Tamandua tetradactyla: one gene and its partners. The protein of the gene in region 1 binds, or shares a complex with, the protein of each later gene. Links are inferred from orthologs where the notes say so. Each region holds a gene or a part of one and is shown in the gene's direction. Other genes may lie near its edges. The genes, in order: EPC1, MBTD1 and ING3.

Evidence for each region.
Region 2: EPC1 (region 1) and MBTD1 share a complex: the UniProt entries of both Homo sapiens proteins name them as parts of the nuA4 histone acetyltransferase complex. The link is inferred for Tamandua tetradactyla from reciprocal best matches to the Homo sapiens genes EPC1 and MBTD1.
Region 3: EPC1 (region 1) and ING3 share a complex: the UniProt entries of both Homo sapiens proteins name them as parts of the nuA4 histone acetyltransferase complex. The link is inferred for Tamandua tetradactyla from reciprocal best matches to the Homo sapiens genes EPC1 and ING3.

What each region holds. Positions count from the first base shown.
Region 1 is NC_135327.1:218,877,393-218,884,975, forward strand, and holds the start of EPC1 (enhancer of polycomb homolog 1), read left to right. Parts: upstream 1-4,550; 5' UTR 4,551-4,850; coding exon 4,851-5,003; intron 5,004-5,406; exon of another isoform or gene 5,407-7,583. UniProt on the Homo sapiens protein: Component of the NuA4 histone acetyltransferase (HAT) complex, a multiprotein complex involved in transcriptional activation of select genes principally by acetylation of nucleosomal histones H4 and H2A.
Region 2 is NC_135332.1:32,355,557-32,363,077, reverse strand, and holds the start of MBTD1 (MBT domain-containing protein 1), read left to right. Parts: upstream 1-4,432; 5' UTR 4,433-4,458; coding exon 4,459-4,566; intron 4,567-5,884; coding exon of another isoform or gene 5,885-6,274; exon of another isoform or gene 6,275-6,690; intron 6,691-6,716; exon of another isoform or gene 6,717-6,954; coding exon of another isoform or gene 6,955-6,975; intron 6,976-7,170; exon of another isoform or gene 7,171-7,423; intron 7,424-7,521. Other genes in the region: UTP18 (U3 small nucleolar RNA-associated protein 18 homolog), read right to left, coding at 1,653-1,751, 4,222-4,334, 5,885-6,274. UniProt on the Homo sapiens protein: Chromatin reader component of the NuA4 histone acetyltransferase complex, a multiprotein complex involved in transcriptional activation of select genes principally by acetylation of nucleosomal histones H4 and H2A.
Region 3 is NC_135327.1:161,383,829-161,391,868, forward strand, and holds the start of ING3 (inhibitor of growth protein 3), read left to right. Parts: upstream 1-5,034; 5' UTR 5,035-5,184; coding exon 5,185-5,212; exon of another isoform or gene 5,213-5,258; intron 5,259-5,457; coding exon 5,458-5,529; intron 5,530-8,040. UniProt on the Homo sapiens protein: Component of the NuA4 histone acetyltransferase (HAT) complex which is involved in transcriptional activation of select genes principally by acetylation of nucleosomal histones H4 and H2A.

The sequences.
Region 1 (7,583 bases):
ATTTGTTGAATGCTTGAAGGAATGAAGAGTCTAGACTTCTATTACTAAAACTGGTATTATGATTTTTTATCTTATTGTCCCATCAAAGAGAACTGTAACTTCTTTGATATCATCCACTATTGCCCTCCTTTCTTCTTGCCTCAGAAGATATGACTAAAGTTATTCCTTTCCTATGTCTTTCCTTTTAGTATACAAATATGCACACATCTCTTTCATCTTCAAAAGCAATAAAACCCTTGGCCTGAATAGCTTTGTGTCTCTCCTTCCCTTCATTGCCAAGCTGCATGAAAGAGTAGTCTACCTTGAACATCTCTCTTTTCTCACTTTGCATTCACTTAATTAATTTTAACCTAGTATCTTTGGCCCCATTCTGGAATCAGACAGCCAGAGATTCAAATCTCAGTATCACCTCTCATTGGCTTTGCAACCACAGGCAGGTCATATCACCTCTCTAAGGTGAATATCTCTCTACAGGACACACCTCATAGAGCTCTCATGAAAATTAAATGAGAGAATACATTGAAAGCACTTCCATACTGCTGGTGTATAGCAAAGGCTCAATCAATGGTAGTTATTATTCTTAATGATCCAAAGTATAATAGGAGTTCGGAGATGAGAAAGATGGGCATAGGCTTAAGAAGAATTATTTTTAGTTCACCTAAGTTTCCTTATTCTTGAAACTAGGAAGTTAGGGCCCAGAGATGTTGAATAGCTAAAGAAAGCTTCATGGAGGAGATGATATTTGAGTTGGATTTTGAAGAATAATTAAAAATAGTGACATCTGTCAAGGGTTCGCAGTGGCCAAGTGACAATTTGAATGATTTACATGGATTTTATTCAACCCTGAGACATTCTGTGAAGTAGGACTTCGGTGGCTAGTAGATGGTTAGTCTGAAGGGGGAGAAGGAAGACAGAGAGAAAAGAGTGAAAAATCAGAGGCAGAAACATGTGATGAGTTCTAAAGACAGTGTCAGAAGCCAGGATGAAGAATTTGTCTTAGAGGTCTGATGTTGGATAGAGAAGGCAAAATTATGGGAGGTCTTAACAACCTACCAAAGAATTACTTTATTTAACGAACAAAATAAAGAGTAGTTGTGGTTTGGTGGCAGACACTGCACCATGAAACCCTGGAGGGCAGAGTTTCATGACTAACTCCCCAGGGGCCCACGCCTCTACCAGCCACTACCACTAGTCACTATTGGGAGATTACCAGCAATTTTGACAATATAGGGAATAAAGGCTGATTGAGGGAATGAATGAATAAAAGGTGGATTGGATTGAAGATTGTTTCTACATGTGATGTGATGAAAGCTTGAACCATGTCTGAGACAGTGGAAATGGGAATAGAGGCAAATCTTCTATTTTCAAAGAAGAAAGTATGGACTAGGGGATATACTGGATGTAAGCTAATATTCAGAGCCTTATTTCAGGTTTATTATAGAATGCAAAATGCAGTGTCAGAGCAGTTGTATTTGAAACGTTCTCTCTTTGAAGTGTTTGATTTTTTTAAAAGCAGTAATTCTGCATTCAAAACAAATCACCTTTCAGGGTGATGATATTGTAATTCTTACCACTAAAACTTAGGCCTCTTTACTTTCTACTCCTACTCCCTCCACTCACGTTCTTACCAGTTTTGCATAATACTTTGATTGTTGTAGGAGTTCTCTACTGAATGCTGGCCAAAATAAACCCCCTCATCCTCAAACACACCTAACAGTTGCCCTTCCCAACCCCAACTTTTGTTCATTTAATTGCTTCCTCCTGTGAATGCCCTTCTACCCTTTTCTAAACTCCCATAGCACTCACTACATTTCACTATACCACCTAGTACTGGTCATTTGGTTAACTGGTTATCCCTTGGCCAGTATCTTATTTGTATCCCTTACAGTGAGGTACCGTGTATTGCCTAGTTATCCAATAAGTATTTGTGGCATGAATGAAGGGTGTTTTAACTAACTGCAAACACCTTTCCAACAAAGAGTTTCCCATTGAGGAAATGTTATTCAGCTTTATACTAGTATACGTTTCTTGCATCATGTTGAGAATTTTTCTTGCAATGTTGAGAATTTCATATCACTTTTGTTGATGTTTAGAAAAAGAAGTTGAGAGTAGAAGAGAAAGTTAAAGTAAAAGAAATTGCAGGAGTAGGTATTTTGCAAAGAATCTTTTGGTGGGTTAAAGGAAGCTGAGGAAAATTAAATCTGTATTTTCCCTTCTGCACACCTGACTCTAAAGAGGGAGGGAAGTGAACCAAATATATGAGAGGCTTGGGACTTCAGCTTCTGGGTCGTTAAGAACCCAGTAGGAACTGGGAGGTAGAAATTCAGGACATTGAGGACCTGGATGGAGAATCAATGCAGAAAAAAAGATGTCTCTAGCATATTAGTTGCAAAAAAAGCAAGCTGAAAAATGTGTAAGCATCTCCAAAAACCTGTCATGGAGAGCAACGCTAGAGTTTCTTAGAAAACTTACCTGTACAATGATTTTGTTACTAATGTAGTATGAGGAAAATGTTATGCATAAGCTGTTATTTTTAATGAAGGTAAGATGTGTTTCCTTGGTTCACTCATAACTTAAGACCCTATTTTGTTCTATAAAGTCTTAGGTTCCTCAGTCACAAATTTAACTACTGGGATTCGGGGAATCTCATATTCTAGGCTAGATGGAAAGAACTGTTATACTCATTTCAGCCAGTATTTTCAGAACTGTTAAATCTGGCTAAATAGGAGTCATGCTCCACAGTGGAATTGGCAGTTCTTTGAAGTTCCCAGAATGTGACATGCTGAGTGTCTCAGGCATAAGCCTTTGCAAGTGCTTCCTTCTAGTTTTTTGTTTGTTTGTTTGGTTCGTTGGTTGTGTGTTTTGTTGTTTTTTGCATCATCTCCAAGAAGCCTTCCCTGACTGCTTTCATTATAGCCACTATCCATGGGTTGGGTGCCATTCCTGCTTGTTCTCACTAGCCTGGATTTCATCATAGCAACTTACCGCTAAGTGTGGCAGTTGTGATTCACAGGTCCTTCCTCCTGGAGCCCTCTGGGTGCTGAGCAATCAGCAGCACAACTGGAAGAGAGCAAGGGCTCAAGGTTTGCTCTTTGGATGAATAAATGCAGTCTTGGTATAGAAAATGTGGGTGAAAGTCCCTCTGCCTCACAGAGTTTTAGCATAATTTTGGAGAACTACAATCTATGCCTCTCCTTGTCTTTTCCCCACCCCATTGAGTATAGTTAAACCAACCTGGAAGATAACAGTTTGCTTAAGTGCCCTAAGCTAATAATAGTTCATACCCAACCCAATATTTAAGAACACTGGTTATTTTTATTATGTAGCCCTATCCTCTCCCTGTGAGGGACAGACTTACAAAATACTTTCGTTATCTTTTGAAAAGATGTGAAATTTTGTTGCCACCTCATTAAAGCCACCCAAATAATCTTAACGATTTTTAAAATACTACTCTGGAGAGAGTTCTCTGGACATTCATTTTCCTGTGTAATATAAACCAAATGTCAGCAATGTATTACATCTATCTAAATCTCTTCTAATAATTCGTTTCCCGTGCGCGCGCGCGCGCTCATGGGGTGTTGTTGGCAGGCGCCTGGCAGCCTATATGGTTCAGTTTTATAAATATATAATTTTTTTTATTGAACAAATGATAAAGAACCCATGGCTATGCTGAAGTCGCCTTTTCTTTTCAGTACAAAAATCACAAGCTGAGTATAAAGTATAGGCTGTTAAACTCTGAAGAAGATCTTGCTTTAATTTTTTTTCTTCGTAAGGTTACAGTATCCAGTTTCCTTTCTTTGCTCCAATTACAATAAAAGAGTTAATATGGGAAGATAAAATGTAGGCTTAAAAAAATACTTTGGAGTAGGAAACCAGCGGGAGGGAAACTGACCTATGAATTGATGAGGCGCCTATCAAATGACAGAACCCAAGTTCATTAGACGTAAAAAAAAAAAAAAATGCGGGTAAAAGTTCACTCGAGTCACATTCTGCCCCTAATTTCGTTTGTATTTTTGCCGCGGTAACTAGGCTATGCGTTCGCCCACGAATTGGCCACCGGTGCGCACCACCTCGGGAACGCCTGTCCCTGGTCCTGCCGCAGGTGGCGTTGGCAGCCTGGGCGTCGCCCCCGCCCCTCGCGCCGGCCGGGATGGCAGGTGCCCGAGCCCTCGGACCGAGCCGCAGGGAGCGAGCCCGGCCAAGGCCGCCGCCCCGCGACTCTCTCCGCACTGCCTTTCGAGAAGCCCGAGGGCGAGTGGAAATAGTTTTCCTGCACCTTCCTTCGCCTCTCAGAAGAGAGCGGTCAGAGGGAGCGAGCGTGAGAAAGTGAGCGCGTGCGCGAAGAGGAGAGGAAGCCCAAGAAGCCGGCTCCCGGCGCCTGAGCGCCTGGCCCAGCTGGCCGCCCGGCCCTGGTCGCGCCCGACCGGCGGCGGGCGGGGGCCTGAGCAGCGAGGCGCGGGGAGCGAGGCCCGCGGGAGCCGGGGGTTGACGGGACGCGCGCTCCGTGCCGGCGCCGGCCTCGAGCCCGCGCTCCCCCCCCCCCGCCCGCGTGCCCGCGCCGCTGCGCGATGCAGTGTGGGGAATGGCTGGGGTTGGCTGAAGAGCGCACAGTGGAGTTTTAATGTCCGCCATGTTGGCCATGGCGTATTGAAGAGAGCGAGCGAGAGAGGAGCGGAGCGGCACAGACTCCCACCCTCCCGGCTGGTGTTAGTGCCCGGACAGCGGGCTCTGCGCTCCGTCCCTCAAGTCCCCGGCAGCGGTAGGCGAGTGGGGACCGAACCCCCGGTTCTCCATGATCCCGCTGGCCGGGGCCGTTTCCCCAGAGCGGAGAGGTATCTGCTGCGCCTGAGATGAGTAAACTGTCGTTTCGGGCGCGGGCGCTAGACGCCTCGAAGCCGCTGCCGGTTTTCCGCTGTGAGGATCTGCCAGACCTGCACGAATACGCCTCGATAAACCGGGCCGTGCCGCAGATGCCCACCGGAATGGAGAAGGAAGAGGAGTCGGTACGTGTTAACTCCCCTGTCCGACCCACCGCCAGGCCCCGCTCCCTGTGCTGCCTGCGGCGGCGACGGAGCAGCATTCCCACACAAAATGGCCGCCATCTTCTCTTCCCCGCCGACTCTCAGTTGCCGGCCGGGTCTTTACCCCGCCCTCCCCAGCCTCGACCCCGGCCGCCGCGGCCTGGTAGGGCCTCCTCTGAGGCCACCCGTCGACCCCGGCCACTGGTACCCGGGTCCCGCGGAGTTCGGGGGCCCGAAAGGCACAAAGGGGTCACGTGACGAAGCCGCCGGCAGCCATTTTGTGGTCTTTAGTTCTTGGGCTGGGCCTTGTGCATCCGGAGAGGGGAGCGGGCTGGGCGGCGGGGTGCGGCGGGCCCGGCGCGGAGCAGGACGACCTGCCTGCAGGCCTTTCCGCGGGCCGCTGGGTGGCGCTCCAGGGTCACCTCGGCCTCCGCGTCGCTGCTGGCGCTGGGGAACGCTGGTCTATGCAATGGGGCGGTTCGGCTTCCCCGGCGCCGGGAAAGCTTGCTCGGCTGGAACCAGCCCCACACGGAGTCTCGGAGGGGGCCTGGTCTCTGAGGCTTATTTCTCCCCCTCCCTGCAACGGAGTGTCGAGCTTACTGCGTGTTTGCCCTGACGACTTTCATAGATTAGAATTATTCGCAGTATTCTCTTTCTGGGACTTTTGCATCCATCCCTTCCCTCCCAATGTTAGTTAGTCGGAGGATGATCAACTACTATCTCTGATTTTTTCTTTGATCCTTGAGAACATGTTGCAGATACGTTTGGAATACGTGGCTCTTATTTAAAGCCTATAACTTTAATGTATTTTTTTTTCTGTAAAATTTAAGTTTTTATGCTTTCTGATCTCACAACGTGGGGGGAGAAAAGACCCAATTAGATAGATCTAAATTTAGGAAGAGGGTCATTTTCTTATCCATAGTTAAACTAAAGTTTAATGAAGTCATAGTCTTAACATTGAAATATCTAAATCGGGTGGGTTTCAGAATGTAAATGTTTGTTTACAGCTAATAGACATTTTGTTATAGCTGTGGCTTCACCTTATTGTGGAAGTTGGGTTCAGACACAAGGATAATAGAATCTTCCTCTCATTTCCCCCAGATCCTTGACAGTATAACTTGATAACGTCTAATCCTAAGGAATTGCATACCTTGGTTTTCAGGTACAGCCATTAAAACAGGGTGCAGTGTATTGACAGTTCAAGGAAGTCGAGGAATCGCGTGGATATGCTACAATTTTGTTGTGGAAAATTGTACTGTAATGCTTCTCTTTGGTACTGTAAGAATTTTGAATGTAGTAATCATACTCTGTAATGTTTTTGAAAATAAAACTGTTTAAACTTGTTTGGGTCGTTTAACCTTTCAACGTACAATAGTTGTGACAGCGAATGTTACTTTTAAGAGTAGTGTGTTAAATCTTATTTTACAGATAAGCTAAGTGCATGTAGTAGTTGATTGTCTAGTGTAGTACTGACTTTTAGCACCTTGTCTATGAGACAGCATCTCTTAATTTATTACTTGTATCAACTTTAGAGTAGAATGGTACCATTTGTTTATTTTTAAACAAGTGATTTGTTTTTAAAAATTAAAATACTTGTGACTGCAGAATCTTGTCTTTTGGTTTTATTTTTGTTTCTGTTTATAAGTTTTGCAGATAATACTTTTCAAGTTGGGGTTTTGGTGTTACACTACCTTGGAAATTAATTTGTAATTCTTGTTTACAGCCAAGGGGAGAGCCTTGATTAAAGGAAGGTAACACTACAGTACAGTTTAAGTCTTTGCTTCTATGAATACTTTGAACAGTCCCAAGAGCTACCACCTAAAGTTAGAGCTACGCTTAACTGAGGCATCAATGCTTATTAAATTTACAGATAATTTTTGTTCACTGAAATTATTTTGACATTTGATAATGTGAATGGATCTCATTAGATTGCAGCATTACAGCATGTGGAGTCCCTGTGGAGGGACATAGGGATTTTTTTTTCCTTTAGACTGCCTTTAACATCATCTGTTTAGAATTTCAGTTCTCATCTACCGAATGCTATGTGTATGATCAGTGAAGCATAGCTTAAGAGTAGATACCGAACTTAACGGGGATGTAAAAAGTACCAGGTAAACAAACAAGCTGCTCTACAAACCTGTGGTTCATGCTGGTGGTAGAACATATAAATAGTGGTATTGAAACTAGCATGGTTACAATATTGGATGTGTAAGCTAAGCATAAATAAAGGTAACTGAATTCTGAGTTAATCTTGTAAAAACAAGAACTTTTGATAATTTGTTGAAGCATCTTTTATTTCTTACAAAGAAGAAGGTTAAAACAAACGTCTGCCTTTGACACATTAGGGATGCTGTCTCTTGGGTCTGAGTGACCTAGAGCCTGAATTGACTAATTTAGAAAAAGTAAATAATCCTATGTTGGTCATGAAAGATGGGGCCGATATGGATTAGGACAATTTCTTGTACTCTGCTTCATTAATAAAGCATTTCAGGAACAAAATGCATCTGTAGAATTGTCGTGAAATATCCCTAGTAATTATTACTTTATTTTGTTTCTATAGTA
Region 2 (7,521 bases), on another chromosome or scaffold:
CATCCAAGGGAGCCTCAATAAGATTAAATGCAGATTTTTCATCAGAAACCATGGCAGCAAGGCGGCAATGGGATGACATATTTAAAGAACTGAGAGCAAAAAATTGCCAACCAAGAATTTTATATCTAATAAAACTATCTTTCAAAAATGAGGGCAAGATTAAGACATTACCAGATAAACAAAAGCTGAGGGAATGTGGCACTACTAGATCAACCCTAAAAAAAGATGCTAGAGAGGTCTGTTGGTTTAAAGGAAAGGATGGCAGACAACAGATTAAAACCACATGAAGGGGCGGGCCACAGTGGCTCAGCAGGCAGAGTTCTCGCCTGCCACACACACACACACACACACACACACAAACACAAAAACACATGAAGAAATAAAGACCTCCAGTAAGAGTAATGACATGGGCAAATATAAACGCCAGTATTATTGTATTTTTAGTTTGTAATTCTGCTTCTTACTTCTTATAGGATCTAAAAGGTAAATACATAAAATGCAACAATGAATCAGAGGTTTTGGACTTAGAATGCAATTTGTGACAAGAATTACATAAAGGTCAAAAGCTAGAGGGGCATATTTGTGTATACTAATGAAGTCAAGTTGTATCAAGGCAAACAAGATTATTATAGATTTAGGATATTAAATTTAAATCCTACAGTAAATATAAAGAAAATTCTGGAGAATATGTGAACTAATAGAGACAGAAATTAGAGTACAGGCTATCAAGGACATGAGCCAGGGGGAATGGGGAATTATTGCATAATGAATATAGGGTATCTGTTTGGGGAGATGGGAAAATTTTAGTAATGGAAGGTGGTGAGAATAACAGTATTTTTTAATGTGATTAATTCCATTAATTAGTGATATAGGAGTGGGTGAGAAGGGAATATTTATGTTGCAGATATGTTTCCACAATTAAAAAAAAAAACCAAAACAGAAATTTCAGAATGTGGAACATTCTACAAGAAAACTGGCCTGAATATTTTAAAAAATCAATGTCAGAGGCAAAAATTAAGGCTGGCTTAGGTTAAAAGAGATTTTAGAAACATAAAATATAACACAGGAACCTTATGACAACTGGAGATATGTGTAAGATTTGATAATGATATCTTGGATAAGAAGGGAAATGCCCTTGACCTTTGGCAATGCATACTGAAGAACTTAAGAATGAAGTATTCTGTTTTCTGCACCTTATTTTCACTTCAAATAAATCAGGAAATCATATACACACACATTCATACACACACCCCTCACATACATAAAGCAAATGTGTGCAAAAATGCTAAAATATCATCCAATCCAGGTAGAAAGTATTAAAGGTGTTCAATTTTGAAATTTTTCATATTATAAAGTTGTGGGAAAGAGATGGTTTACTACATACAAATAATTAAACAAGTACACAGTATCATCACTGGTTATATTTGAGTGGTGAGATCACAAAAAACTTCTTCCAAATTTCCTTCACGCTTGTTGTATCCTCGCTCTCCCAATTTTAAATTTAATCATTTCTTCCAATAACAATACTTTTAACTGTTTCAAAACAGAAACTGACTACTCAAAAACCTACAGAAAACAAAGATTTGCAACTCCAAATAAACTACTGGTTATAAAATTATATCTTGGTGAATCACATGAAAAAAGACACTTACTCTTCTTTAAGTCTCTTTTGTAACTGTTCTTTTGAAAGTCTACTTTCACTGGCATTTTTCATCATATCTTTCCGAAAACGATTGTTCATCATGTCAACCCTATAAAAAACAAGAACAGCATGCTTTAAATGTTTAAAGATTCAACACAAATAGTTGTTGCCTTTACCACTTAGATAAAACTAATTTCACAATATATATCAAGATGTATAAGATGCAGAACATATCATATGCATATTCTCCATTCTTCTTCAAACAAAAAAGAATCTCCAGTATTTCAGATCATGAGAGAGTTTATTCATGAGAGAGCTAATATCTCAAATTCAAAATCAATTATCCTGGCACAGTTTATACCATCAACCAAATTAAATTCCAGGTAATCAAGTTATATGTACAAAAAACAAATCTTAAACTGTTAAAATCTGTTTTAACAGTAAATTAGTAAAAATAGTATTAAAAAAAGATTCACAGATCAATATAAAAATTTAAATATGGAGTTTCAAAAGACATTACAAAACAAAATTAAAAGGCCAACAGGAAATTAGGAAAAAAATTTGCAATAAATTCGACACAAAAGTTTTAAAATTCACAATATGTAGGGTTCTTTTACATTAAAATAATTAAGAAAGTCTCCAATAAATAAATAAGAGATACTAAAGAACTCTTATAAAAGAAAATACCAACGACTAATAGCAAAGATGGTTTTTCAACACAAACTAGAGATTATTTCCCACCCATCAAACTGACAAAATCTGAAAAACGATAACATTATCTATGCAACAGGAGTGATGAAATGGATACCTTTTGATGGGAAAATAACTGATAGAACCTTATCATATGTAGTCTGGCCATATTTATCCAAAGCTCTAAAAGTGCTCATGCTTTCTGATCAAGGGATTCCACCTCAGAGAATCTTTTTTAAGGAAATAATCAGGAAAGTAGACAGAAATTCATGCACAAAGATGCATTAATTTATTAAAGGGAAAAATAAAAACAATCGGTCCAATAATAGCTATGTAAATTAGGATTAATTCGTACTATTGGTTATAATACAGCCCTTAAAAATGTTTATAAGGTTTTTTTTAAAAAAAAGAAAAGAAAAATAGGGAGCAAATACTTGAAATAGAGTGATAATTAGAAAAAGACAACATGCTAAACTAAATATACGGTACATTTTCATCAACAAAAGCACATATCACATGTGCTAGCTAACCTTTTAGCCTACACAGTTCCAGGCACTGTGCCAAGAGTTCTATTTGCACCATTTCATTTAATCCCTACACCCTTCTGATAGTTATTATCATCATCATTTTACAAATGAGAAAAGGTAGGTTCCAAACTTGCTGAAGGACAGTTAAGAAATGGTCAAATTCTGAAGGAGTTTAAAGTTTAAAGTAAGGGTCATGAAACAAGAAGTCTAATAATTTGAGTATGGTAGTCCAAATCACAGAAAAAAGAAACACTTCTACTCTTTGGGAGAAAGGGATAATTTTATAGCAGCTAAAGGAACCCAAGAAAGTTCAGAAGAATAAACAGAACACAAACTTCCTCATCAGCATAGAACATGCAAAAGTGATATCCTCCAATTCCACATAACTAAAGAAACTGTGTATGATCTGGAGATGAAAATATAACTTTAAAAAAACTTTCTGGGATTCCTCAGTTTGGCTTGGCAAGGCAAAGAGGTCCTAGCAGAAATAGAGTTGAGGAGCCCAGCAAAGTTCTACTGAGGAATTTCAGCCAGTGGAGTTAATAGTGAAAGTACAACTTGCAATGTGATTTCGAACATCTCTTAGGGCATGAGAAGGCAGCAGTTTGAACAAGCAAGTCAGGTAAGTGCATGATTCTATTTCACAAGGCAGAGTTTCCATAGGCAGTAATTACTGCTACTCTCTTGTTCTAGAAAAACAATAGTAGGTCACTTCACAGTATATCAATTAAAGCCCCACTTGTTTCAAAGCAAGTCCAATTTTGCTGAAGTTGTAACTCAGAAATTAAAAATTAACAAATGATTATGATTACTGAATCATTCTATAGATGTTTTTTCTTTCTATATTGTAGACTAACCTAATGTCAATACCTGAAATTACTGAAACTCTTAGCCCAGTGTATACTTCCTATTACAGTGGTCATTCTACCCTAGCCTCAGCTCTGTTTACACATGTTATTTTAATGGTAACAACACCATCTCCCTTGTTTGAATCCATAAAAAACCCAAACTCCTTAAATTCAGGGAGACAGATTTTGAGCCTACAGGCCATGTGATCTGCTTCCCGCTTAGCAATAAACTCTCTCTTTGAAATTCCAAAAGAAAAAAAAAAGGCCAAATTAGGAAGAAACTTAGGTCTGAGTTCTTCAAACACACTGCTCTCATTGTTATTCTCTACAACGAAGGAAAAAAAGAGAGGGAGAGAAGTATGCCAAAATGTTAACAGTGGTTCTCAGCTTTTCTTTTCCATAATTTCCTACACTTTTCAAATTTTCAATCACATTTTCATAAGAATGTTTAAAACCTGCAAAAGAACTTTTCAAGTGTCAAGAAGAATTCTGGAGAAAAAGTTAAGCAACTCACATTTCCTCATCTTCATCTTCCTCATCCACCCAAACTGGCTTCTTTTGAGGTGGAAAAGTATCCTTTGAGTCATTCTCCACTTCTGAATCATCAGAGTCTTCATGCACATGAATCTAGAAAATACAAAATGTCCTCACAATGAGTTTTTCACACATCTTGTAGTCAGGTGGTTTGAAGAATGCAGTCCTCTGATGAAATAATGGGATGGAATGCCACCAGCATGCTACAGAGCAGAAAATGAAAAGACCAGTAAATGGCACTGCAGCCTGGACAGACAAGGAAAGATGGAACTTAGAGAAAATTAACATGCTAAAAGAAAAAGACCAAGTAAGACAACAACAAAAGGTAAGACAGACGAGGAAAGGCACAGGAAAAATTCCAGAACTACAGAAAATGACAAATCTAGAGTCAAAAATAACATAATTGTCATATTTCTTATCTCATACTCTTAGAACTATTCCTTCACTTCTCTTAACTCTTTTTGAGCTTTACTCAAGAAACCACTATGAAATCTAAACGAAGATCACAGAATATCTCTTGGAATAAGCTCAGCCTTCCTGAAACTGCATGGTAGAAATGCCCAAGGGATTTCTAGTTACTCTATTTACAGATATACGCAAAGCCCAACAAATCCCATCTCCTACAAGAAGTCTCGACAAGTCCACTTCAGGTATATTTATTCCTTTTCTTCACTGACTATCGAAGTGTCATACAGTCTGTTTTAAGATTAGACATCAGCAATTTCTCCCATAGCACCCAAAGGCTTTGGAAATCAGATCGAACTTGACCCTTGTTAGGTCCGCATTAATTTAGCAAATAAATTGCGTAATTCTCGGTGAAGCTTTTCGGGGCGACCCTTTCTAAACTCTCACTGGCCTCCTCCATACCACTAATCACCCTTCCCAGAAAGCTTTTTTTTTTTTTTTTAACAATCTCTCCAGCCCTTGTTACTAACATATTTGAGCTCTTCTTATTTTATTGTCCGTCTCTGCCTTTGGTTTATAAGCTCCAAGAAAATTTTATCAATGTCATTCATTATGTGAACAATGCCTGGAACTCCCAAACTTGGGAGGAAAGCCATATAATAAAAGGAATGTTTAAAAAGTGTAAAAACGTATAGGCAATTACGAAGGGTTTGCCATTGCCAGAAGAGTATCTGGCACTCAACAAGCTGGCAAATGTGTTGAATCAACGATTACACAATGGTTAGAAAAGCTGGTATACAAGAGACTGTTAAAATACATTTTCCCAGGCCCGCGCCCAGGAATTCTGATTCCACAAATAAAATGGAACTCCGCAACCTACATCAACAAACACGGTAGACGACTGAGGAAAGTGATCAAGCATCCACGCTGGAAAGGACAGCTAAGCTGAGCCGCGATAAGATGCTCAGAACTAACTACAAGTTGAGCACCTGCTGCATACCAGGCTCAGTGGCTCCCCTGGAGGCGGAGAGAGGTGCGGTCTCCGCCCTCCGAAGACTTCGTCGGGCTCCAAGAGGCGGGGGACGCACAGCGGCACCCCCTCGGCGCCCACGTTCTCAGGCTCCCTCCCACCTGAGCGCTCCTCGCCGCCTCAGGTCACCCAGACTCCGCCCCCGGAGTCTAGCAATTCGCGCGCCCCGCCCGAGCGCACCCAGCCCGCGCGCCGAGGCCTCCCTTACCCGCGGGCCCCGCAGGCGCCGCAGTAGCGCGTGCTCGTCGTCCTCGACATCGCCGAAAACCAACTCCTCCAAGCACCGCTCCACCGCGGGTTTGTCCTCCTCCAGCGCCAGACGGTTCTGCTGCCGGAGCCGCCTCTCCTCCTCCGCCGTGACTGCGATCGCAGCGGTCGCCGCGCTTAGCCGGGCAGCGGATTTCCGCTGGGATGAAAGGGCAGGTTTTCGAGCTGGGCCGGCCGGCCTCGCTCCGCTTCTTCGGTCCGGCTTCATTCGAGTCCTTGAAGCTGGCATCCCTCCGGTTCTGCGCTTGGGTTTCATTCGGTTCCCTCGCTGCGGCGGCATCTTTAGGTTTGAGAAGAAACGTAGGGGCTCACGTGGAACCTTACAGCGCATGTGCCCAGATGCCTCACTTTCCACCGCCACTAGAGAGGCGGGAGGGGCCGGAAGGAGCCTGTGCAGCCTCTTAGCACGTGACCCAACACTCGGTCCCTACTTAACGCCCACTCTTCTAGGGAGCCCCTCCCCACGTGGGAGTTCCTCCGGGAGAGCCAATCTTCTGGGTGAAGGGGGAAGCGGCGTGACAGGGATGGAAAATTTTTCCATGTCAGCTTCGCAGTTGCAACATAGTCAAAGGAGTACAAAAAGCCAAAGTATAAACCAAGGTGATGGAATGAAATTTCTACTCTTCTGCTTTTTAACCCGTCGACTTAATCCACGTCCTGATTACCTTCTCCACCCCTGCGTCTTGGTACGACCCATAGAGTACGGAGCCTGTAGAGGGTCCCACGCTGGAAGAGAGAGAGAGGAGGGTATGTAGGGAAGTGGGCCAATCGGGGCGCAGGTCACGGCGCAAGCGCGCTGGGGAGGGAGGGCTATGCTAATGTTGTTGATATCCTGGGGCCACCCTAGTTAAAGGGGGGAAATCCGGGGGCTGCCACAGCCGCCGCCAGTCTGGGCCCAGCCGTGGGCCCCTTGTAGTCGCCACCGTCCCGCGGAGAGGCGCCTACCCCCGGCTCGGGGAGGGGGCGCCGCGGGTCCGGGGAGCACGGACATCCCCTACCCATGAGGCCCTGATGGAAAACACAAAGGATCTGGTGAGAACTGAGCGCGGCAGCCGCTTTGTGTGCAAAGTGTGTGCAAGGTGGGGGGACGCCTACAGCTCCCCGACCTCAGGGACTCCTACAGCTCCCTGGCCCCACTCCCAGGCCTGTCTCTTTATCCCACGCCCCCTCTACCTCTGGAGTCCCCCTCCCCCTACCGGCCGTTAAACGATTCAGGGTCTCCCCTCCCCCCATTCCCCTAGCCCCGGCCTCCCTGGGGTTCTCCTTACCCCTCTTCCACGCTCTGGAAAAAACATTGAGAAGAAAGTTTTTCTCTGCGTCTTGAGCCCCCTGCCCCCGCTCTGGAAGAGGAGTGGGGTGGGTAGCTGGATCTGGGACTCTTCTCTTTTTTAGCTTCTCAGAGTGGGAGACTGGAAGTCCACTTGGCTTCCGAGGGGACATAGTGTTGGTGCTTGGCGGGGAAAGGCGCCTACCCGCTTTGGGGCCAGTGCCGCAAGGCATTTCGCACGTGGAGGTGGAAATACTGAAAGGGGGCGGGGTGGGCACGTGTGGGAGGAAGGGAAGGAAGTGGTGTTTGGG
Region 3 (8,040 bases), about 57 Mb from region 1:
TTTTCTTAATTCCAGTTTTACAGAAGGAGCAGCCCTTTGTGACTTCTGACTTTATGCATGATAGTTCACTTTAGCACCGTGTATGTACTGAGACTTGCAATATTTTCCCTATACCATATTTAGAACCCTCAGACAAACAATTAAGGCCAAGAACTCTCTACTTCAGCTCTGGTTCATTATTCCAACTTTGAGTTTATTCTTCATTCCTGGAACTGAGGATTTTAACTTCTTGGTTTCAAGGTTTTTTTCTTATATTTAATTGAAAATTCCTATTTGTTTTGAGGGGTGCTTTTGTGACACCTTAGATTCAAGAATCAGTTATCCTTTTCAAGATCTTTCCTCTTACACACATTGAACCCACACAATGCAATCACATCTGCAAAATCTCCCTGTTGGGAATTGAAACATGTCTCCTATAAAAGTATGTTCAGATTCCAAGCCTGTGGATATGAACCTTTAGATGTTATTAGTTCATGTGTGACCAAACTGAATGATCAGGGTGGGCCTTAACCCGATATAGTTGAAGTCCTTATAAGCAAAGGAAATTGGGAACAGAAAGAGAGAAGCTACAATGTGCAGCCAGAAGCTGGAAGTTAATGAAACCCAAAAGAGAAAGAAGATGTTGACATGCATACTACCATGTGACAGAAAAGAATTGCCAGCAACCAGCCATAGAATGTCACAGTCTGGGGGAGAAAACTAGCCTCAAATCCATGAGCCAATAAATTCCCTCTGTTTAAGCCAATCCATTGTATGGTATTTGTTTTAGCAGACAGAAGAGTAATACACTCCTAACTCTCCTTCATTAGTCACTTATCTTCTTTCTCTTTCTCCTCATTTTCCAGGTTCTCCATCAAAAACACCCACAAATCAGGTCAGGAAAACAGAATCTTCCTTTAGGGGAGGAATTGCATTGCCAAGTCTTTTTAGTTGGCCATTGGAAGGAGAAGTCTTGGAAACATCTGTAGTCACTTACTGAAGGCTATTATCCAACCTTGTTGCTTACAATTGATCTAGTGAGTGGCAACGGCTTTTACTAAAACAACACTTTATTCTGCTTCCTTTCAAAAGTACAGATGTCTGTCAGGGAGGACACACTGTCTGGTGCAAAGGTAAGAAAACATTTCATTTCAAAGCTTTACTAGGAAGATTTCAAGATGGTGGCTTTTTTTGTAAAATCAGGAAGTAGCAGAGCCTCAAGTTATTAAGTCTGGGTCCCTCTGAGGGAATCCTATATGAAGAATCATGTTTCTGTTTCTCTAGGACAGTCATATTTTGCATCCAGTCTTGAATCTTTTCTCCATGTTCTAATTTTTTCTAATTAGCTATAATCATCAGTGTAATTTGTTACTCTTAAAACCTTCTCTGCATCACTTTTCCCTTGAATTTAGTATGGCCGCAGCAGAATCATAGCAAGAGGTTTGTTTGACAAGCCTGAAGTTCTAAATGTTGTCCAGCCTCAAAATATGCTGAGGCACAAAAGAGCTGCTGCAATATGTGTAAACATAGGAGGGGACCTCATAATATTAATAAAGATAATGATAGCAACTGGCATTCGTTGAATTATAATATGCACCCTGCATTAAACTAAGTACTTTGCATAGATTATATCGTTTCAAACTTACACTCCTAAGATTTAGCTACCATTGCTATTTCCATTACCCAGTTGAGAAACGATGGCATGGAGAGTTAAAATAACCTTTTCAAGATCAACAACCAGTGTTAGAATAGGGAAGTGAACTCGTGCAGTTTAACACTGCCTGTATTCAAACCCTGCAACTATCCTGCCTGTTTCTCAAATATGCTTAAAAATTGGTCAACCATAAAGTTGGGGGAGAAAAGACAGCTGCTGAGTCACAGCATAAAAATAATTTTTAAAAACCCACAGTTCTGGAGTTCATAATGTATAATGAAAATAGGCTAAATGATTAATGACTAAAATTCCATAATTTTTTTTTTTACTATGACATGCAGATCTGTAGTTAACATTCTTTTCATTGCTAGTAACAAACTCCAAACTCTAAAGAAGTGGGTGAAAATTCAGGGAAAAAACACAAGAGCAGCTCTGGGGATCTCAGCAGAAGGACCATGTATCTACGGCGCTGCAATTAGTGCGTTTCTGCCACAATGTCTCTGCGCCTCTTCAGCCCCAATTTCAAACCCCAGAAGGGTGTATCTCCTAGGCTCAGCTTTAGCCTATCCCAGGTAAACTAATAAGATATAATATGGTCACTGGTAACCATTCCTGTGTATGTGGTACTTCCTAGAAACATAGTAAAGGCTGTAAGTTGGTAACCACTCCAAGTATTATATACTATATTATCTAATGATATAAGAAGCTACCACAATTTTCTGCTGCTGACAAATGTTCCTATTTCAAGAATTAAGTTCATTAACTAAAATATATAGAGTGTAAATTTTACTATTTTTGGTTTCTCTGGTGTGTGCAGGTATGCTGACCGAATTGAGAAGTTAGAATTGAAAATTCAGAAGACTGACTTCAAATAACTGAAATTTATTATTTCATTTTCAATATGGAAAACTCCCTGAAGAATTAGTTTTTCACGGAAATGAGTCTTCTATTTCTGAGAGCATGCCATTTTAGCTACTCTGAACGAACCCCACCCTCCTGCTGAAAACAACTAACAATGTTAGGTTTAAAAAAAAAAATCAAACATACTGATGAACTGGTAGGAAATGAAAGCAATCTCAGAGGGGATCTAAAGGGGGAAAAAAGAGAAAGGAAAATGAGAATATGCTGAGAGAAAAGTGAGGGCCAAAGCAGTCTTATGCTCAGAGAGTATCTGTCAAATTGTGGACACCTAGGGCTCCTGCTTTGATAGCTGTGCAGCATGTGTGGTCAAGAGATAAAGCCAAAGTCCTGTACAAACGGTGAACTCTAATGGGAGACAAAATCTGGGGCTCTAAAGGCCTACACTCCCAGTGTAAGTGTGAGTGAGAAATAAATCTGATGCTTAGAAGCAGTCACTAAGGAAACATGCCTATCCTGACTCTGGGACTCAGTAAAGGAAGAGAAGTATTCCCTGAGAATCTGTAACATGTCAAATCCACATTCAATCTATCTGTGCAATAGAATATACATCAAGTACTGAGTTTTATCTGGCCCTAGGGTTGATAGCGCCTTCAAAAAAAAATGTACAGAAATTCTAATATTTTCTAGGAAAACCTATCTTTGACTCTGCCCTCAAGGAATCATTATTTTTACAACCCAAGAAACATGAGTTTAGACTTCAAATTAAGAACTGATAAAAAAAAAAAAGTTACCATAAGCAAAAGCCAGAAGAAACGATAACACAAGAAGACCCATAATATTTTCAGCACTGAATTTAAAAGACACAGAACATAGACTAATTATTTTTAATCTGTATAAGGAAAGAAGAAAATAGATTGATAAGAGAATCAAATAGAATTTCTCACATGGAAAAGTAGGTGAAAGTTTTGAGATGGAGTATTTGAAAGAAAGGTTAGGAGAAAGGGAGGATACTAAAAAAGTCTTATAGATATATAATTGAAGTTCTAGGAGATAATGGAGAACACGGGAGATAAACAACATTAAGGCGATAGCAGCTGAGAACTTTCTAGACTTGTTGCAGGACAACAATCTTAAGATTCAGGAATCCCTTCAAATCTCAAGCATGATTAACAAATAAAACTAAAAATGTAAGAAAGAAAGGGAGGGAGGGAAGAAAGATGGGAAGGAGAGAGGGAAGAAAGGAATATAGAAAGAAAGGATGGATGGGAGGGAGGGAGGAATAAAGGGAAAGAAGAAGAAAAGAAAAAAATCCGAACCAAGGGTAATCATTATCAAACTGCAAAAATATTAAAGACATACAGAAGGTCTTAAAAACAGTCAGAAAAAAAAAAAAGAAAACTGAAGATACCAAATTTTAATACAAGTAGAGATGACAGATAATTCTTATTAGGATTTAGGTAAAGTTCCTTTAAGATTCAGCACTACCATAGAGAAGTATCCTGATCAAAAGATGTGATAAATTTTGAGTACAATAGTACAATGTACACACACACAGAGAGACTTTTAACTCCAATCTGAAAAAAATAAAATAGAACATTAGATTATGAACTAAAGATAATTTCCCGACAGAGTTAAAGAAATAGGTAGAAAACAATAATACCTAACATTTGAGTGCTAGAATTTTTAAAAAGAGGAAGAAAATGAGCAATGAATAACTGAATATTATCACTTATGAACATTTGGGGAAAGGAGTCAAAGGGTAGAAAAAGGCAACGCCCAGGACAACAAATGTCCAATATAATCACAATCTAAAGTGATTGTTACCACAGTCCATTAGATAGTAAGGCTCCAGCAGTTATTTCTGACTGCTTTTATGCTGTTAGGTGTGGCTGCAGGTAAATGTACAGATGATCAATTACGTCAGAACGAGGACGAAACAACCCGCAAAACAGAATATTTAATTATAAGAGGCTTCTGGGTACTTGTGTATCTTTTAGCCAGGAAATGCATATTCCATTCCATATTCTCATAGAATAGACATAGAAGCCACCCAGGTGTCCTATTTATATTTCTAGAAGTTAACACTACGATTTAATTCCAGCAGAGTTCTGTTTTAAACAATCGAAATTGCTCGCACTTTTCTGGTTATTCTAGGATTAGAACCTCCGCTATTGGCCTTAACACTACTTGAAATTCATGACTCATAAACGCCGGGACATGAAATCATAGCAGTAACGAACAGGTGAAAAGTTATCCCTAGTTATGTTGTGCAGGAGCATACAACTCCCGTCATTCCCAGCGCAAAAATCAACAAATAAACAGAAGAACCGCATTTCAGATTCTGTTGCGCACAGTGCGCAATGGCGCCTGGTTTTTGTAGTTTCCACCTGTAGAATTGCCCGCGTGTCAATTATTCCTCCGAAGGGAAAAAAACTATACTTCCCACAAAGGCATGGGGGCGGGTACCGGTCGGATAACGTCATTGCTTGAACCAACCAATGACAGCTCCGGGCGGCAGTGAGGCCAGCGCCGTCAGGCGCCAAAGTGTGTTTTTTTTTTTTTTTTTTTTCCTGGAGCCGAGCGGGTGCTGCTAGCGGAGGCGCCATATTGAAAGGGACAAAACTCCGGCGACAACGAGTGACACAAATAAACCCTTGGACCCACTCGTTTCCCCAGCTCTAAGGGCCGCGATGTTGTACCTAGAGGACTATCTGGAGAGTGAGTGCGCGGCGCTGGCGGGGCTGCCTGTGGGAGCTGCGGGCGGGTGAGAGCGCGAGTGGACGGGCAGGCGGGATGGCGGGAGGGAGGGGGAGGCGGGGGATGTTTCTTTCTCACGGTAACTGGCAGCCTCGCAGTGGGCTGCCGGCTCCCTCGACCCCCCCCGACGCACGCACGCACGCACTGACGTAAGCGCGTGTTTCCTCGTTGGCCCCGCCCCTCTGACGGACTCTTCTCTTTGACAGTGATTGAGCAGCTTCCAATGGACCTGCGGGACCGCTTCACGGAGATGCGCGAGATGGACCTGCAGGTGCAGAGTAAGTCGTGGTGTTTGCTCTTGTTGGTTACACGCGTTCAGTGCCGGACATGCCTGCTGTCGCCGCTAGTGGCTCCTGATATTTGACCGTCCTACGCCTCACTCTGGTAGTGCATAAGGAGTTATCAAAAATAAAGGACAATGAGAAATCTTACCGTTCCATCCCACGCACCTTTTCCGTAGCTTTTACAAGAGGGTGCATGAGGGAAGGTGTATATGCCTTTTTCGAATTTGGGACTATGCAAAAAAAGTTCCTAAACCTTCATTTCTTTGAGACTGTAAATATATATTTTAATGGAATTTACATCAGCATACATATTTAGAAGATTTTAACTTGAGCTTTTCTATTGTGGAACTTAGATTTCAACATCTGTATTTCTGTTAGACTTAATTCGATTTAAAATTATCGAGTGGAAAGCACAAAGGACATGTAGTATGTAGGTCTTTAGAAACCCTGGTGAACTGGAAATGCCAAATTTGGAAGTATTACGAATTATGAGATACATTTTCTATTGTCAACAGCCTCATATTGACTGAGGAAATAAGAATTTATTGTAAAGCATCGTGTCTGCTTTAATAACATTTTGGTAGTTGGCGGGTTTTTGCTTGTGACCCAAAGACATTTTCAGTGATAGCTAGGGAGTTGGGTGACTTTTTTCCAAAATTACCTTACTGTTTCAAGAGCAGAGGTTATAGTTAGGAGACTCAGGGACTAGAGAGTTTGAAAAGGGACTTCAGGGTGTTCTGGAATACACTGCAATTTTTAAGTTGTATTTTATTTATATGGGAAGTTTCTTGAAAGGGTCCATGATTCGAAAAAGGTAGCTAAGAAGATAAATACTCAGCACAGAATTATATTTCAAAACAAGAACATAGTGCTGGGTATCACATTTATGTCCATCATGCTCTGAAAGAACCTCACAAACCTTTCATAATTGGAAGATAAATATGTGATAACTGTTTCAGTTATCTCCTAGAGATACTATGTTAACATTAATTAATTAAAAATGTGAAAATTATATAATGCATAATTAAAATGTGTGATCAATAGAACCTTGTTGGCTATATGTCACTTCCTTTGTTTGGAGAAGTGTTTAATTAAGGAGTACCTTAATTAAATCATTTAAATAATATTTATAGCTGGTCATCATGTAAAATGGGCCCAGAAGTTATGTTTGTTGATCTTCAGGTTGTACAAAAAATGTTTCTGGTGCTGCCATGTTTTCTTCTTGTAAAAGTAGGGGTGGAGAAAGACTTGAACTTTGAGGTAGAGACAAAAGTAGTATCATGTAAAGAAATCAGAGCACCAGCCATCCAAGAGTGTGGGGTCTTGGGTAGCTAAGAAGATTCATTACCCGCCCCCCCACACACACACCCCACTTTTCTGCCCTATCACCACACATACGCACTTCCATACCCACTGTTTCACTGTTTGTGAATATAATTTCTCAGCCTCATTAGTTTAATTAAGGACATCTTAGAAAACCAACAGGGGAGGAAAGCCACGTTCTCTTTTTATTCAGTGGATTGTACTGTGAAAGTGTGAATTGCATGTTAGTTTTCCAGTTTACTCACAAAATTCATTTCATCTTTAATATAGTTGAAGTACCAAGGATTTGTTATTGTTTTCTTTAGGATTCAGCACACATTTTGACTTCATACAGTTCTGAGTTAATTTCAAGGCTTCATAAACTTCCTCACTGACCTTGACCATTATTACCATTTCTGAGGGTTTTTCATCATCTGTAAAATAGGAGTGACCTGAAGATTAAAAATATTTAAAATAAATTGCAAAGTATAGTATCTGATAAGAGATAGACAAAAGGGTAGCCATCATTTTATAATTTTTGGTTCTTACAAATTTAAAATTCTCTTATAATTTGGACTTAGTATTATTCAAATTATAGTTCTTTTAAACTTGTATTTTTTACAATAGAGTTTTCTGAAGTTACAGTTGTTATGAATTAACAAAAGAGGCACTTGAGTTGAATAAATTTAGAAAATGCTTATTTAAACAAAGGGAAATTAAAAAAAAAAATTGTAGGACCTCAGGATGTTTAAAAAGCTGTTATGCACTGAAAATCTCCAAAAAGTATATAATAAAAAGGATATATTCAACTTACATGAGCCTGACTCCCTTTTATTTATTTATTTTTCCTTTTTTAACAAATGTCGAATGAGATTATTACTGGGGCACATTTTGAGAAAAGCAGGTGTAGAATAAATCATATAGTGCAGTAAGTGGATAAATGATTGTGTCTACTACTTTAAATTCTGATAAAAGATGATAAGATGCTTATGGCGTATAACAGGAGGTTAAGATTTTTAAAATCACTTTTTCTTATTAAAAAGCATGATTATCCAGTAGTACTTTCAATAAGTGATTGTGTTTGAGCATATATGACCAATTTGTTAGCATTATCTTTTGACCCCAAAGCTGTACAATTCAAAAACTCTATAGACCCCACTTGTGTTGTTGACACTACTTGGACTAATGGAAAAGGTTTTGAAA